2 linked regions of the Notamacropus eugenii genome follow. Each later gene encodes a partner of the first gene's protein in a complex. Links are inferred from orthologs where the notes say so. Each region holds a gene or a part of one and is shown on either strand. Other genes may lie near its edges. The genes, in order: XAB2 and PPIE.

The links.
Region 2: XAB2 (region 1) and PPIE share a complex: the UniProt entries of both Homo sapiens proteins name them as parts of the XAB2 complex. The link is inferred for Notamacropus eugenii from reciprocal best matches to the Homo sapiens genes XAB2 and PPIE.

The regions. Positions count from the first base shown.
Region 1 is NC_092875.1:51,394,405-51,402,985, forward strand, and holds the start of XAB2 (pre-mRNA-splicing factor SYF1), read right to left. Parts: upstream 3,172-8,581; 5' UTR 3,145-3,171; coding exon 3,070-3,144; intron 707-3,069; coding exon 558-706; intron 416-557; coding exon 292-415; intron 193-291; coding exon 1-192. Other genes in the region: protein PET100 homolog, mitochondrial, read left to right, coding at 3,376-3,486. UniProt on the Homo sapiens protein: Involved in pre-mRNA splicing as component of the spliceosome. Involved in transcription-coupled repair (TCR), transcription and pre-mRNA splicing.
Region 2 is NC_092876.1:79,570,588-79,578,922, forward strand, and holds the start of PPIE (peptidyl-prolyl cis-trans isomerase E), read left to right. Parts: upstream 1-5,076; 5' UTR 5,077-5,455; coding exon 5,456-5,486; intron 5,487-8,226; coding exon 8,227-8,325; intron 8,326-8,335. UniProt on the Homo sapiens protein: Involved in pre-mRNA splicing as component of the spliceosome. Combines RNA-binding and PPIase activities.

The sequences.
Region 1 (8,581 bases):
GAAGCGGCGGTACACACGCACTGCAGTCTCAGGCAAAGGGTGGGAACGTACAAAGCGAAGATAGAGGGGCCAGATGCGAGAGTGCTGAGTGATGGGCAGAGCCCTCAGGGCACGGTCAAAGGTACGCCGGGTCCGAGTAATGCGGCCCTGCTCCATCAAGAACTGGCAGTAATCCAACCACAGCCGTGGCATCTGTAGCAAGGAGAAGGCAGAGGTCCCCTCATGCTCCCACATCTCCAGCCCTGGCCTGAGATTCCTTTTGCCCCCTGGCCCTCGTCACCAAAGGCTTACCTTGTGCATGAAGACCAAGGCCCGCTCGTGGCAGTTGTTGACATCCTCATAGGCAGGGTCAGTCACGCAGCGGCGCTTCACCTGGGCCCGGCGGGCTTTCAGGTAGTGGTACCATAGCTTGTAACTGGGTGACAGGAGAGGAAATATGCTTGTGTACACTGTCCCAGCCTTTTCCTTTTCTTTGCTCATGCTCCACTTTCCTGTACTGTGTTGCCCCATGGGGAAAGGAGAGGGAGGGGAGGTTGGAAAGTGGGAGGGACCCTCACCTCCCAGGCAGCTCCTTGAGGGCTCGCTCATACAGCAGATTGAGCACAGCCTGTGATGCACTCTGTTTGAACTCAATGTACCGAAACCAACACTTGACAGAGAAAGGGTTGCGAAGGATTTCCTCCTCATACTGCAAATCCTCTTCTTCCTAGGGAGACAAGAGGTCAGATCAGAGTTCCTCAAATAAGCCAGGCCTTCTCCTTCCCAAACCTAGCACTCTGAATCCCCTAAATCTCCACCTCCTCACCCTGATTCCCACCCCCAGAAGGCTGGTCTCTCTCTCACTGAGACAACTGTGCCACAGTGGAATGAGTCAGGAGACTCCAGGTAAAATCCCAGCTTTTATATTTCTTATGTGACCCTAGGCAAACCAGTTCAAGTTTCTGGGCCTCAGGGGATCAGATGATGTGTGTCTTCCTGTTTGAAAGCCCCACTTCAAGCACCCACTTGGTTTACTCACTAAATTCTTGTTTCCTCTCTAAGCAAGTACCCAGCTTGCAGGTCATTGGAAAAAGTGGCATATTTAGGTTTGATGACGGGAAAAACCTTCCAATAAGTGGGACTATCTCAAAGCAGAATGAGCTACCACTGGAGGTACTGGGTTTCTCCTTATCTGAAGCCCTTATCCAATGGCTAGGTGATTAAGCTTAATGGAGAAGGAATTCTTGTTCCAGTACAGGTTGGATTAGAAAGTCACTGAAGTCCCTTCCAAGTCTGAGACAGTTTGTGTCTTTCACTGGACAGATACTTCTATACGCATGCCTTGTTCTAGGATCTGTATGATAAAGCAATCTTTCAATTCTAAATCCTGCAACAGCTTATTCCCCCATATTACCTAGTCTCTGCATATGGCTCAGTGTCCCTTAGAAACACTCCCAACATCCTCTCTTTTCTCTCTATCCTCACTCATCATAGCAATAGCCTTCTCCTTGGCTCCCATCTCTCCACCTCCCACCATTCCATCAGACTTGTCAAGGGCTTGCATGCCAGTGCCAGCTCTGATGTAATCCAATTCACCCCATCTTTATTAAATACCTACTACAGCAGAGGACTTCATAGGGCTCTGACACCAGGTTCAAGTACTCACAGAATCTTAAGAGCTGGAGGGACTTCAAAGAACATCCAGTCCACACACTTATGATAATAGCTAACATTTATAGAGCACTTCCTATGGGCCAGGCACTGTGCTAAGTGCTCTAGATAATAAGGATGACAATAATAGGTAACATTCATACAGCACTTACTCTGAGCCAAGTACTGTGCTTAATGATCACAATAATAGGTAACATTCACAAAGCACTTACTATGTGCCAAGAACTTTATAATTATCATCCCTTTTGATCCCCACAACAATTAGGAAGTAGGTGCCATTATCACCCCCATTTTACAGATGAAGAAAGTGAGGCAAATAGCATTTAAGTAACTTGCCCAAAGTCACACAATTAGAAGTGTCTGAGGTTGGATTTGAACTCAGGTCTTTCTGACTTCACTCTCAGAGCTCTATCCCCAAAAGTGATCCTGCTGCCTCAGCTTGAAGATGTTCAATGATGAGACACCTCTAACTCTAAGTATGCTTTTTTCTAACATCAAACCTAGATCCACTTCTTTTAAATTTCCATCCACTGCTCTTAATTCTACCTCCTGCATCCAAGCAGGGGGAAAAACCTCTTTCTTTACAAGTTTTTCACATAGTAAGCAGGATATAACTTTGCCCCAGTCCTTGTGCAGCTTACAGTTTAAAAGAAAGGCATTAAGCTAGAAAACTACAATAGATAATGTTAGTGAGTAGGTGCAGCAGAAGGGGTACAAGGCTGGATGAGGTCTGACGGGGTGTCATTGGCTCAGGGAGAGGAGATTCAGGAAGGCTGCCTGGAGGAGGGGGCGCAAGCACCCGGCTTTAAAAGGAAGCCAGAAATTCAGAGGTGAAGAAAGGGACACAGCATCCCAGGAACCTGGGGCACACAGGCAGAAGAGCATGGCTCCTACTCCTATCGGCAGCCTCATTCTTCAAGAGGAGAATAATACGTTTGGAAAGGGGCTAGATTGTGGCAAGCCTGGCATGCCAAGCAAAGGAGTCTGAGCTCTACTGGGAAGTCGCAGATGCAAGATTCGGAGCAAATCTCAGCATCTGGTAAGAAATAAAGAGTATCACGGAGAGGGTCTTTGAGGGCATGATTCTTTTCTCTGCTCCGCTCAAGAACCTGCAATGGCTCCCTACGGCTCACTCTGGGTCTGCACCACGCCCTCGGCCGCCCCGCCCACTTAGTCTCTGACGAATAGCACAAGGAGAGGAGGAGCCTGGCTGATCCCAACCAGCGCAGCCTCCACTTCGCCCACTCCCAGGTTAGCGGGGGCTCTCTCTTGCGCCTGCGCAGTCTTCCAGGAGCTCGGAGTCGCGTCTGCGCACTCCTTGCCTCCATCGGGCCGGCGTCTCCCTATCGCAGGTTTCGGAGTCCGCCCGCTGTCCCGTGGAGCCCACTGCGTCTGTGCGCTCCTCCCGCTCGTACTCACGAAGAAGAGGTCGGGCCTCTCGGGCCGAGCCTTCAGCTTTGCCTCGGCTGCATCTGCGTCCCCGATCTCGGGCATCCCTGCGTCTTCTTCCGCTGCACTCACCAGCCCTTACGCTGTGGTCCCGCCTCCATCCGTCCTGGTACTGTTTCTCATTGGCCGGATGCAGCTCACTTCCGTGCTCTCCCTCAGAACAACTTCCGCCTGTTTAAGACTAGGGGAAGAGGCGGGACACCCTCTTCACGCTTCACTTCCGCTTTGAGCCGCTCCAGCCAATGGACTCCAGCGTCCAAGCTCGAGCTCTAGCCAATGAACGTACGTCTTGCTGCGGCGTCTAGTTTTGGGCGGATGTGGCTTCAGAGACTGGCGGAAGCAGCCGTCGGACCTAACAAGATGGGGGTGAAGCTGGAGGTTTTTCGGGTCAGTGCTGGGGCACGGGAGCGTGTGGGACAGTGCTTCTCGGGGCCCGGGTGGAGGGCAGATAGGGGTCTTTGGGGATGGAACCTAGGGGCTGAACAAGAATCCGCTGTTGACATTCCCTCCACACCCACATTACCTGACTGCCCCCTCATCTCCTGGTTAGGCAGCGTTACCTCAAGTGCAGCCTAAAGACGTCATTTCACGACCCTTCCGAGGCTCTTTATAGGGCTTTGCACGTGACAACCCTTCAAATACTTGAACCCAGCAGCCCTCTCCTCTCCCAAGTCTACTCCTGCCCTTCCCCAGCTTTCTCTTCTTCTGGCTAAACACTCCCACTTCCTTCACCCAGTCTTCAAGTGATAGGAACTCAGGAAGCTTCACCTTGAGGTCACCCTCCTCTGTCACTCCGTGATCTTAAGCTATGGTGCCTAGAACCAGGCAGACGACTCTAGATGAGATCTGATCGATGACGAGGATGATGAAGATGATGATGATGATGGTGATGATGATGATGATGATGGTGATGAGGATGAGGATGATGATGATGAGGAGGAGGAGGATGAGGATGATGATGATGATGGTGATGATGATGATGATGATGAGGATGAGGATGATGATGATGATGATGATGATGGTGATGATGATGTATTTACGTAGTGCTTTAACGTTTTGCAAAGTACATTACAAATATCTCTTTTTGTCCTTGCAAGGAAGGGAGCAAGCATCTATTAAGCGCCTGATATGTGCTGAGTGCTTTACAAATAGCATCTCATTTAATCGTCACAACAACCCTGGGATGCAGGTAGTTATTACCCTTTTTACAGATGAGGACACCGAGGCTTAGGTTAAGCGACTGGTCCAGGGCATAGTAAGTGTTTGAGGTGGGATTTGTACCCTAAGTCCACTCTAAGGACTGCACTAGGAGACAGTGGTCCTGTCACGTCCTTATTTTGGAAACTATGGGATAGAGATTGTACTAGAGCTGTGATTTCATAGGTATAGGAAGCTCCCAGGAGGAACTCCTAACAGTACTGGTCAGCATCTTCTCTTTAACCTGTAATCACAGAGAGTGGCCTTGCATAGACAGATTAAGTGATTTGCCCAGAGTCATTCAGCCATCGTGTGTGTGCCCGTGTGTGTTTTATAAATTGATTTATTTTTAAATTTTCTCTTCTCCTCCCCAAGCTGGCATGCAATCCCATATAGACTTTACATATACATTCTTATTAAACATATTTTCACATTAGTCATGTTGTATAAAAATATTGGTTGGTTGGTTGTTGTCCTGCGTTCTTGAAGAGGGCCAAAATGATATGATAAAGTGAAATTTCAGTGTGTCTGACTGTGGCTGATCAGACCAACACGAGCTTAGAGTGCTGTACTGCAGGTTGGGCACAAATAGTCCATGTGAATATTTGGGGTGGATACTCCAAATTTATGCATCTTACGTTTACTTAGTGCTGTCTCAATTCTGCTTTGCTCATACATACAGCACAGCACCCTTTCTGATGTGGGCATGCCATGCTGAGTGGTCCTGTTCCAGTGTCTCCTATGTTGCACGGTCAAATCCAAAGTTTTCAAGAGAGACCTTGAGAGTGTCCTTGTATCTCTTCTTCTGAATTAGACTGAAATAGAGGAACCATGAGAAAGAAAAAAACGAACGTAAACTAAACAAAAAAAGATCTGCATTCAGACTCCCTCTTTCTTTCTGTGGATGTGGATGGCATTTTCCATCGGAGTCTTTTGGAAGCCAGCATTTTTTAAAGCCTGAACTTGACCCAGCTCTTGCTTGCTCCAACACTGTCTGGCCACTGTTCCACACTGTCTCTTGCCTTATCTTTTTTAACTCTCTTAACATCTTCCCAAAATGGAATTAGTTTTTTTTGGATGGCCACATCTCACTGCTGATTTATTGAGTTCTCTAAAAACATCCAGTTTTTTTCTCAAACTTCCATTGTGAAGTTAATTTTTTTTTAACTCAAGTCTAAGACTTTACATTTGTCCATATTGAATTTCATTTTATTAGCCTTAACTCATTGTTCCTGCATGTCAAGATCTTTTTTGGATCCTGATCTTGCCATATAGTATGTTAACTGTTCTTATCTAGTTCCCAGTTCTGTGTTATCTACAGACTTGATGAGCATGCTATCTATTCCTTTGTCTAAGTATTTGGTTAAAAATGCTAAATAACCCACCTTGGGCCACTCAGGCCACTTCACTGGAGACCTTCTGTTTATTGACATTGAACTCCTAATGACTCGTCTTTTGAGTCTGATCTTTCATCTAGTTTTAAATCTACCTAATTGTATTATAGGGCAGCTAGATGGCACAGTGGATAAAGTGCTGGGCCTACAGTGAGGAAGACTCCTTGAACTGAGTTCAAATCTGGCCTCAAACATCCAGTAGCTGTGTGACCCTGGACAAGTGACTTCACCCCAGTTTGCCTCAGTTTCTTCATCTGTTAAATGAGCTGGAGAAGGAAATGGCAAACCACTCCGGTATCTTTGCCAAGAAAATTCCAAATGGGGCCATGAGGAGTTGGCCGTGACTGATCAACAACAAATTGTATCGTAGTCTAGTCCATGTTTTCCTCAAGAATGGAATAAGATACTTTACCAAATGCTTTGTGAAGATCCAAGTAAACTCTATCTACAATTTAAGCTATTAATCACTTTCAGAAAAGAAAAGAAAATTCGCCTGGCATGACCTGTCCTTGAAGCTGAACTGGCTCTTTTCAGTCACTGCTTCCTTGTCTGGATGGTTCCTAGCCATCCACTGTGGTATTTTAGAATTTCCCCAAGAACTGAAGTCAAGCTGAGTGGCTCATAATTGACAGGTTTTCTTCTCTTCTTTGATGAAGCTTTGAACTTGTTGGGGGGTGTTATAGAGGGGAATCTTGTTAAGGTGTGAGCTGAACTGAATTTGTTCTGAGGTCCCTGCTAGTTCCAGGATTCTTGATTTTGAATTGTCCAGTTTGCCTGGAAGGGAGTAAATGAGAGAAGTTTGTAAAGGCAGAATGACCCAAGATAGGAGAGGGTCTTTCTTGTCAAGCAAAGTAGTTTGAACTTTACTTGGTAGCCTGTAAGGAGTCACTGAAAATCTTTGAGTCAAATGACACGAGCAGATCTGTGTGGAAGGAAGATTATTCCAACAGTGTTGTGAAGGATAGCTTAGAGGCCAGGAAAGAAGGAAATCAGGAATTCAATTCAATTCTAGAAGCATTTACTGAGTACTTACTGAGTACATGCCACCAGGTGCTAGGATACAAAGACAAAAACAATTCAGTGCCTGCCTTCAAGGATTTTACAGCAGGGGGTGGGTGTGGGAGAAGGATAGATAAGGAAATACAGAATATATACAAAATAACAATGGGCAGCATTAACAATTGGAGGAAGCAGGAAAGTTCTCCTGGAGGTGGTGGTGCTTGAGCCCCACTGAAGGAAGATGGGGGTGCCAGGGTACAGAGGAGATGACACGGAGCCTGCTAGGTATGGGAGATGTGGAAAGAGGAGACAGAATTTCATTCGTGGGGAGCATCAAGTTGGCCAGTGTGGCAGGAGGGTAAAATGGGTGAGGGGAATAATGTAAAATGTTATAATATGGAAATTTGAAGGGAGAAGTGAGAGCCAGATTGGAGGGGGCTTTAAATGCCAAACAGAAGAGTTGGCATTTTATCCCAGAAGCAATAGGGAGCCACTCACGCTTCCCCAGCTTGGGGAGGTTCAGTGGTTCCCTGCTGATTCTGAAACAATGTAGAATAATGGATTAAGAGATAGGCAGACATGGATTCAAATCTAGCCTCAGTTACTAACTGTATGGCCTTGAAGGGCAAATGACTTCTCTGGGTCAGTGTCCTATGCTTTATGAATATGAAGCTGTATGGACTGTAGGAGAGGAGATTGGAGGCAAGGAGGCCAATTAGGAGGCTGTTGCAATAGTTCAATAGAAAGTAATGAAGGACTTCCTAGGGTGGTGGAAATGTGAGCAGAGAGAAAGGGATAATAAGAACAACAGTAACTGACAGTAATATAGGACCTACTATGTGCAAGGCACTTTTCAATTATTATCTCATTGTGTCCTCACAACAGTCCTGACAAGTAGGTGCTGCTATTATACCCATGTTACAGTTGAGGAAACTGAGGCTAAAAGAGATTACATGACTTGCTCAGGATCACACTGCCAGGAAGTGTTTGAGGCTGGATTTGAACTCAAGTCTTCCTGAATGCCGGTCTGGCACTGCTTTCTCTGCATCAGCTAGCTGCCTCAATGTAACTGTCAATAGGAACTGGTAACTGGATGAGAGAGGTGAATAGTTAAATGTAACCCACAAAGAAATTTATTTTGGATTGAGGTTACTTTGTATCCATCCTCTATGTTTCTTGTATATATCTCTTTGTACACCTTACATGACTTTAGAATGTAAGTTTCACGAGGGCAGGCGATTTTTCACTTCCTTTTTATTCCCAGTACTGAGCACGGTGCTAGCACGTAGCAGGTGTAAATACCATCAAGGCTTCTTGATTAGGTGGAAAAGGAAAACTCACAGTTAAAAAGTACCAAAGCCCAGATCCTAACTTTGTCACTTACCATCTTTCTGACCTTGGGCAAAAACAATTGACAAATTTCACGTTAGTGTTTGCAAACTGCTGTTGGGACACCTGCCCTGTGAGGTGAGGGGTTTGATTATTATTGTATTTGTTTTGAGGAAATTGAGGTGCTGACAGGCTTTGTGACTTGGCTACGATGACCCAGCTGGTAGGAAGTCACATAACCTTAATTTCCTCCTTTGTAAAATTCAGTTAATTTGCACCATTTACTTCATAGGGTTATTGTGAATGACGACTTGATTTGTTGTTGTTCGGTTGTTGCAGTGTCCAACTCTTTGTGACCCCACTTGGGGTTTTCTTGGCAGAGATGTTAGAGTGTTTGCCCTTTCCTTCTCCTGCTCATTTTACAGATGAGGAAACTGAGGCAAACAGGGTTAAGTGACTTGCTCAGGGTCACACAAACTAGTAAGTGTCTGAGACTGGATTTGAACTCTGAGCTTCCTGACTCCAGGCCTGGTGCTCTATCCACTGCACCACCTTGCTGCTCT
Region 2 (8,335 bases), on another chromosome or scaffold:
TTCTTGGAGCTGAAAGATCTGGCTTTGAATCCCTAGATCTTAAAATATGTATGTAATGATAAAAGGACAGGGACTTGACTTTGGACAAACTTCTCTTCTGGACTTCAGTTTCCTCATTTGTCAAAGAGAAAAGGAATGGATTTTGAGACTGGAAATAAGTTTTGCATGAATACACATGTGATACAATGTATCAATTATCTTCTTAGTGAAGGAGGGGGGAGAATTTGGAACTCAGTTTTTAAAATGAATTTTGAAAACTGTTTTTACATGTAGTTGGGAAAAAATAAAATACTAAATTTAGAATTTTTTTTTACTAAACTGAATGGTCTCTGAGGAATCCTTTCTTTCTTTGCAGGATACTCTGAAGTGAAATAGCCCCTTTATTAGATGTTCGTTCACTCAACATGTGGAGACTTCTTCAGTTACTACAGACTGAACAAGACATGGCAGAAGAAGCTGCTGCCATTCTGGAGATTTTTTCTTTTGAAAAAATCAACTTGAAAGGTCAATTCTTAAAACCCTAAGAAGTTTTCCAGTGGTCAAAATGGGCAGGTTTCTTGTGTGTTGCCTGGACCCTGTTAATCTTTAATTTAATTTTATTTAATTTTTCTCTTCTAAAAAAGCTTTTCTGACAGTATTTTTGTTTTGGTTTTATCAGGAATTGGTTTTATTTGACGTATCCAATTTACAGAGTCTGGAAAAGTGTTTCTCAATAAAGAAGTAAAACCTTCATAAATTGCCTCTTTATTTTTATTCCCATATTTTCAAACTCTACTGGAGTTTATTTGACTTATGTCAAAAATAAGTCCAAGTTTTCACTGGAAGGAGTCTTAGGAACACAAATAAGTCAGAATGGAATTGCACAGATAGTTTGTTATTCCTTGTTTGTTCTGGTTTTCCAAGCAGTTTGCTATTTCCTAGGTAATGAGGAGGACTGTTTGGGGTTGTCATTAAATTGACATGTTAAAATATGATCCTGTCACACTTGAACTGTCACATTAGAACCCAAAAGCTCCTCATAAATAGGAAATGTTTATATTGGCTTCAGTTATGTACAATGAATAGTTTTTTACCAAGTTTCAAGCCAAGACTGGACTTAAATGCTTGCATGGGGAACTTCAAAGAACGTTTCAGGGGTCAGAAAACGAATTTTTATTTAGAAAGTGGCATTGCTTTTGGATATTATTGAAGTAGTGCCACAGGGTCATCTGAACTATAGCTTCCTTTAATAGCAAACTTTATAGTATGCTTTTTATTCAGTTTAATACATAATCCATTCCAAAAGGCCAGCCTAGTGACCATCTGGAAGTAGAGGGGATCTGGAGTCTGTGGTGTCACGTAGTATCTATGACCTTTTGGGGATGCGTAATCTTATCTACCTCATTTTCTAAGGATGATAGCACCTGTGCTTATAAATGTTGTACGTAGCTTTGCCTGTTGCTCCACTCTTTGCCATGTGAAGTTGGTAGTTTTGACCCAATGCCACACTATCGGAGGCATGTGCTGAGTTGGCTTTGGCAGCGCAGGCTTCATGCAACAAGTAGAGATATGAAACCTGAGTTTTAAGAGTTGGACTTTTTAAATTGTGAAATGTCATATTTTAGTACATCACAAATCTCCTTAAAGAATCAGGATTACACTAGCTCAAAAGTATTAAACTGGATGAGGTGGTGTGGTTGAGTCACAATTTCCACTGACAGGGCTGACTACCATGTCAGATGGCTTACAATTACATATTCTGTTTGCTGTGCTATCCAGCTGCCTCCTAGTAGGGACTTTAATAAATTTTGGATGACTGATCATTTGAAGTATTGGGACCTACTAAGTACTGTATGAGCAAGAACACAACTAAAGATTTTTTTACAATTTTAAGTTCCAAATTCTCATCCTCCTTCCTTTACCTATTCAAGGAAAAAAAAAACAAAACCCATTACAGTTACGTACAGTGATGCAAAACATTCCCTCAGCCTTGTCTAAAAAAACAAAATATGCCTCAATTTGCTGTTAAGTCTGTCAGCTCTGTATCATAAGCATGTTTCATCACATCTTTTGAAGCTGTAGTTGGGTAATGTATTGATCAGTGTTGTCAAAGTCAATAGTATTCCATCATATCCCCAACTGAAGAACATCCTCCTCAGTTTCTGATTCTTTTCCACCACTTGTGCTTTGATCTCTGGGATACAGACCTGGTGTTTCTGGATCAAAGTATGCAGTTTTGAGGGGGGTAGTTCCAAATTGCTTTCTAGAATGTTTGAGCTAGTTCACCACTTTACTTGCAGTGCACCTGTTTTCCCACAACCCCTTCCAGCTATGATTTTCCATTTTTGTCATCTTTGCCAATCTGGTGGGTATGAGATAGTACCTCATAGTTGTTTTCATTTACATTTCTCTAATATTAATTTAAAGCATCTATTCATGTGGTCATTTATAGCTTAGAATTCTTCTCTAAAAATTTCCTATTCATATTCCTTAATTGGAGAATGGATACCAGAAGATGTTTAGAAGCAAAAAATCCTAGAATTCTGGGGTGCATTAGCTTTTGAATCAATATGCTTAACGTTTGCCAAATACACTTATTACTAATGTATCTGTAACATTCAATTCAATTTGTCCCGTGGAGGAATTCCCACTCAGGTATTTACCTCAAGGGTAAACCATTCCTTGTTTAATAAGGGTAGTCTAGAAGGACAGGTTGAACTGTCAACAAACCATGTTTGAAGAAACCAAATGAATGAGGCCACAGCCTCTGGGAGCACTAAAAAAATTAGTCCTACAAGCTGCCTGGGAATCTACAGCTAGTAATCACTAGCTTGTCCAAAGACCAAAACTGCACATCCCCAGAAATGCGGCAAGCTGAAATGTGGCTTCTGGAGGAAAGATGCAGGAGTTCTTGAAAATCTTGAGCACCACCCACTTTGTAATGAGTGGTAGCTATTCAACTCCACAGTTCTATTGTAGCCCATCCTGGCACCGATAGCTTGCCAACCCCACGTGACCTGTACACTTGTGAATGTAAAATCCTTTGAGCCCCTCTTTAATAGTTTTAGAATTTGAAGATGTTTATTCATTAAGTCAGGGAACTGAGACTTGGGTTCAGTAGTTCAAACTGTTCCCTGGTAAGAAGTTTTTGGAATGTATGAGCTGTCTTTGGAGTTAATGGCTTCCCCTTTGCCAGAGTTTCTGAAGCTACGTTTGGGTGATCATTTGACTGGGATGTTCAAAGACGCCTCAGGTTCCTTCTAACTTTTGTAATTGTGAAGCGACACCCTTTGGTCGGATGCTACCCTTTGAGCAAGATTATTCAGTGAAGCTCTAAAACTGAAGGGCTTCAAAGTAATTGAAGAAATAATTCCCTACTAGAAAGCTTACTGATTTTCTTGGCATAGACCTTTTTCCATTTTGGTTACTTTACTCTGTATGCTTTGCAGCTCATCAGCATCCTTCCCAAATTATGGCACCCAGAACATCACTATTTCAAATGTGGTCCAACAAGAGTGGCAGAAGGGGAGGGACTGTTCCTTAAAGCTTGTCTTCATTCAGTCCAAGACTAACTTGGGTTTTCTTTCGGTCATCTCATACTGCGGATTCATTGCACTTTAGCTCACCCAAACTCACAGGTCTTTTTGTCAGATAAACCAATCAGAATTCTAGAGTTGGAAGAGTTCTCACTGTTTCTCTCTAGTCTTCATAATCAACATTTTGACAAATGGACATCTAGCATTACTAATCTAACCAAGCCTGTCCTATTGTACTTGTGAAGTTGGTTCTTTTAACCCAAATAAAGTAAGACTTTACTTTCATCTGTTTTAGATTAGGCCAATGTTTTACCTCATCAAGATCATTTTGCATCCTGAACTTCAATCAATGTTACCCCACCCACCTTTGTATGAGTTGCAGATCTGGTTTGTGTAACTTTTTTAAAGATTGTTTTTATTGGCTGGATGTGTTAAATTCCAGAATCTAATTATTAATGCCTAGTGATTTCTACTTTAGGATGGATTTAAACTAGATAGGACAAATAAAGCCGTAGATGTGTCTATATGTTTATACATCCTTAAAAAATAACTTCACTCTAATGAAAAAAAAGCTGATCCTTCCCATCCCACCAGCCTTCTTCTCTATAAATGAGGGGGTAAGGTGTCTTCTCAATATCTTTGCTTTTTATTAAGATCACCGATAAAAATGTTAAATATCACAGGGCCAAGCACAGATTCCTGGGACCCTGTACCAAACAGTGCCCTTCAAGTTGAGTCCAACCAGTTCCAAATCCAACAAATTAGCATTATGGAGCCCCATCATTTCCACAAGAATCCTATTAAATAACTCTCAGAAGCTCTGCGAAAATCTGGGTAAACCACAGAGCATTCTTCTCATTTATCTTGGAGCCTGTCAAAACCCATCACAAGGCAGGCCAGCTCTCTCTGTGATCATCTCTCTAGATCCTCCTCTAGATCTTCGACCAAAATTAAACCAGCCTCACTGGCCTGCACTGTCAGATCCTTTCCTCCCTTTTTAAAATATGGGGACACTTTGCCCCTCTCTGGCCCCAGAGGACCAGCCTCCCAGGTCACGGAAGCCAGTCCTGAGAGATGCCCGCTGGCACTGCCCCTCCTGTGGGTGAGGGGAGCTGAAAGATTGCTTGTGACTGCCCGAGTCCTTCTCAAGCACTCAGGAGGAACTTCAGTGCCCACAGTGGCAGCGCCGGGCGCCATCCGCCTCCAGTGCCCGCCCCCCCCTTTCCTCCGATGTGCCAAGAACCACAAGGAGAACAAAAGGCCCGCTAGCCCCCCTTTTAGCTCTGGTGTGCGACCCCCCGGGGTGTTCCGGCCAGACACTGGAGGGGTCGGCCATTCCCTTCCCCAGCGCATTTTACAGATGAGGAAACTGAGGCAAACAGGGTGAGACGCCGCAGCGAGGACGTGTCGGAGGCGGGACTGGACCCTCCGGACCCGACTCCGGGACAGTGGTCGTCCCCTCCCCCAACACGCGTTTTCATCTTCGGTGGAATTCCCGCGTTGCTAGACGGGCCAAGCGGGCCGGCCGTTCCCTCACGCAAGCCCAGGACATGACGTCAGAGCGCACAACGTCCCGGGGCCCCGCCCAGAGGCCGCCCCCCGGGCACCGCGGCCGGGTCATTGGCGAGTGCCCTACAACGTGGGCTTCTGGTGGGCACGCATTAAAAAACCACTCTCTCAAGTGAGTAGCTAAGCGCCACGGCAAACATCTAAGGCCGCCCATTCACTCCTTTCTCTTCCACTCCAATCTCCTCAAAGAAAAGCGCGATTGGTGACGCCACGTCGGCCCCAGGCTGCGCCTGCGCACAAAGCCTCCTCTTAGCTCGGCCAGCCTATGGCTGCGGCGGGACTCCGAGGAACGCAACGCCCTCTGCTACTGGGCGTGGGCGGAAATAGGGGCGGAGGGAGTCGTCGACTTCCGCCTCGTAGCCCGACGCAAGATGGCCGCCACCAAGCGGGTCCTATATGTAGGTGAGTGGAATTTCACCGCACTGGGTGGGGGCAGAGGTCGAGGTTCCAGCAGGAGTGGTTTTCTACCTGGCCTAGGGATGCTGGGCCGGTGAGGAGAGTCTGGAGGGAGGCCTTGGCCCTCAGGCCTGGTAGGACAAGGGAGAGATTGTGCGGGGCTAGCTATCGCGAGACTTGGCTGACAGCTCGGGGGTGGGACCCAGCTCAGTTTGTGCTGGGGGCGGGGCGAGTGATTGGAGGCGGGGCTGAGGGGCGGGGCGCGCTCTGCGCTCCGTGGTTGGGTGCTGAAGGGGTCACGCGGTTCAGTTGTGTAAGCGTTCTTTTACTTGTAGGTTACCTTTGCCTGCTGGTGTATCCCCCTGCAGGAAGTAGCCTTCAAACTGGCGATTAATAAATGCTGCCTGTGGCACTGGGGATGGGGGCTGGACCTGTAATTTCCGTGGTCCAGGGTACTCCCGGGTGAGGACACGCCCCTCACCTGTAGGCAGGCAAAAGGTGTCACCCTGGAGCCCGCAGCGCAGCCTGCACCATTTATTAAATGCCTGTTGTGTGCCAAACCCCTACTAAGTGTTGGGGACCTAAAAGACGGTTGTCCCAGCTGCAAGGGAGTCTGAGGACACGGGTCCGAGTATTCCTGACCCCACTGGGGGTTTTCTTGGCAAAGATCTTGGAGTGGTTTGCCATTTCCCTTTCCAGCTCATTTTACAGATGGGGAAACTGAGGGAGGCAGAATGAAGTGACTTGACCAGGCCAGATTTGAACTCAGATCTCCCTAACTCCAGACCTGGCCCTCTCTCCGCTCTGCTGCCTAGCTGAGAAGGGAACATAGTAGACATTAATAGAGTGACCGAATGCTTGTTCACCAAGGAACTTCCCCAGCCTTTTTTAAAAATTTTATATTTTTTTACATTTATTTATTTTTAGTTTTCAACATTCACTTTCATAAATTTTAAATTTGTTCCCCTCCTTCCTCCCTCCTCTCCTCGAGACAGCATGCTGCATATATATTCCTATTAAGCATATTTTCACATTAGTCATGTTGTATAGAAGAATTAGATGAATGGGAGGCACTGATGAGGGCTGGAAGGGGGCAGTGAGACCCTTACAAAGACCAGGGTACCAGGGGCAGGTCACCTGGAAGGAATCCATGCATGGTCTCAAGCCTTCTTGAGGTCAAAGTAAAGATTTATTACACTTCTCAGTGGCCAAGAATTCTTAAGGAACCTGTGATTTGAGTGGAGTACAGTTAAAGTTTATAGAGGATATTTTATTGTAAAACATGTGCCAAGTGTGAGGACTAGGTGATTCAGGGCAGGATTAGGGAGTGGTTAAGGGGTGATTCGTTCTTAAAGGAACATGCACTTTCAGGGTCGACTGTGCAGATATTTTACCCAGAGTCCATTGGGAAATAACCCAAGAGGGGTGCTACATGGAGGTGTGGTTTTAGGCCTGAAACATCACCAAGTCAACTGAGGGTCGGGACTGACTCAGGAATGCCAGGCTGCTCTCATCAGTGTCTTGTTAGACAAGATAAATGTAATGGAGTATACGTATGTCTAAGTCTAGGACACATATGATTGGTCAGTGAGTAGAAAACATCGTTACGACCCAGTGCACAGTCCATTCAGCCAGTACACAGCTGGTTCAGACTAATAAATTCTATTGGTGCAGCTGGCTGCTGTATCAGGAAGGGAGATACAAGTTTTGCTAGGCCAGGCTGTGTCCTTGGGCTGGGGAGAAACTGCGTGAGATTGTTTTGAGGATAGGGAGAAATGTGATTTTTAGAGAGATGTTATTTTAAAGTTGGGGTTCAAGCTCAGGCACCCAAGCACCTTATCAGAACCATGAGAAAGAAAGAAAATAGTCTGCTTCACTCTGCATTCAGACTCCATAGTTCTTTCCCTGGATGCAGATGGCTTTCTCCACCATGAGAAGGACCTCCCCTGTGAAGGACAACATTGCAAATCCCTGCTTGCTTTCCAGTTTCTCTCCCCTTCACTGGGACCTGTTTAGCTCAGACTAGACTTTCTAAGGAATCCGTCTGACCCTGTCATTTTTGTGCTTAAAACCCTTCCCTGGGCAGGCATTTTCAGAAGCCCCTTCCCATTGTGCTGCGCTGCCCTGAGGATTACAGAACACAAAAGGTAAACAGTCCCTGTTCTCCCAGGAGCGTACAGTCTGCCCAAGGAGACAGCATGTACATATATAAGTACATGCAAAATATGACACGGCAGGGAAAGGTGTAGTGCAGAAGGTGGTCCGTGAGCTGAACTGTGAAGGAATCAGGGATTTTGATAGAAGGGGGGAGTTGGTGATTTCCAGGCATGTGCAAAGGCATGGAGATGGGAGATCTAGCTGGATGATCCTGAGCAAGTCACTTGTTTGCCTCATTTTCCTCAAATGAAAAAATGGGGAATATAATAGCCCCTACCTTCCAAGATTGTGGTGAGGATCAAATGAGATAATGATTGTAAAGTGCTTACCAAGTGCCTGAGACAGAGTAAGTGATAAATAAGTGTTAGCTGTTGTTATTGCATACACGTAGGGCGTAGCCTGTCAGGTGCATCAAGCACATTACTGGCACACAGTGTCATGGATTTAGAGCTGTTAGCTCTAAGGGACACTGTAGGTCACTTGGTGCAAGCCCATCCACTTAGACTTTGAGTTGGACTCTTGTCCCTAACCATAGGGCTGGAGCATACATGGAAGAGAATTGAAAAGGATGCCTTTGCTTCATTTGTAGGGGGCCTTGCAGAGGAGGTGGATGAGAAGGTCCTTCATGCTGCTTTTATCCCTTTTGGAGACATCACAGACATTCAGATACCGCTGGATTATGAAACAGGTGAACATGT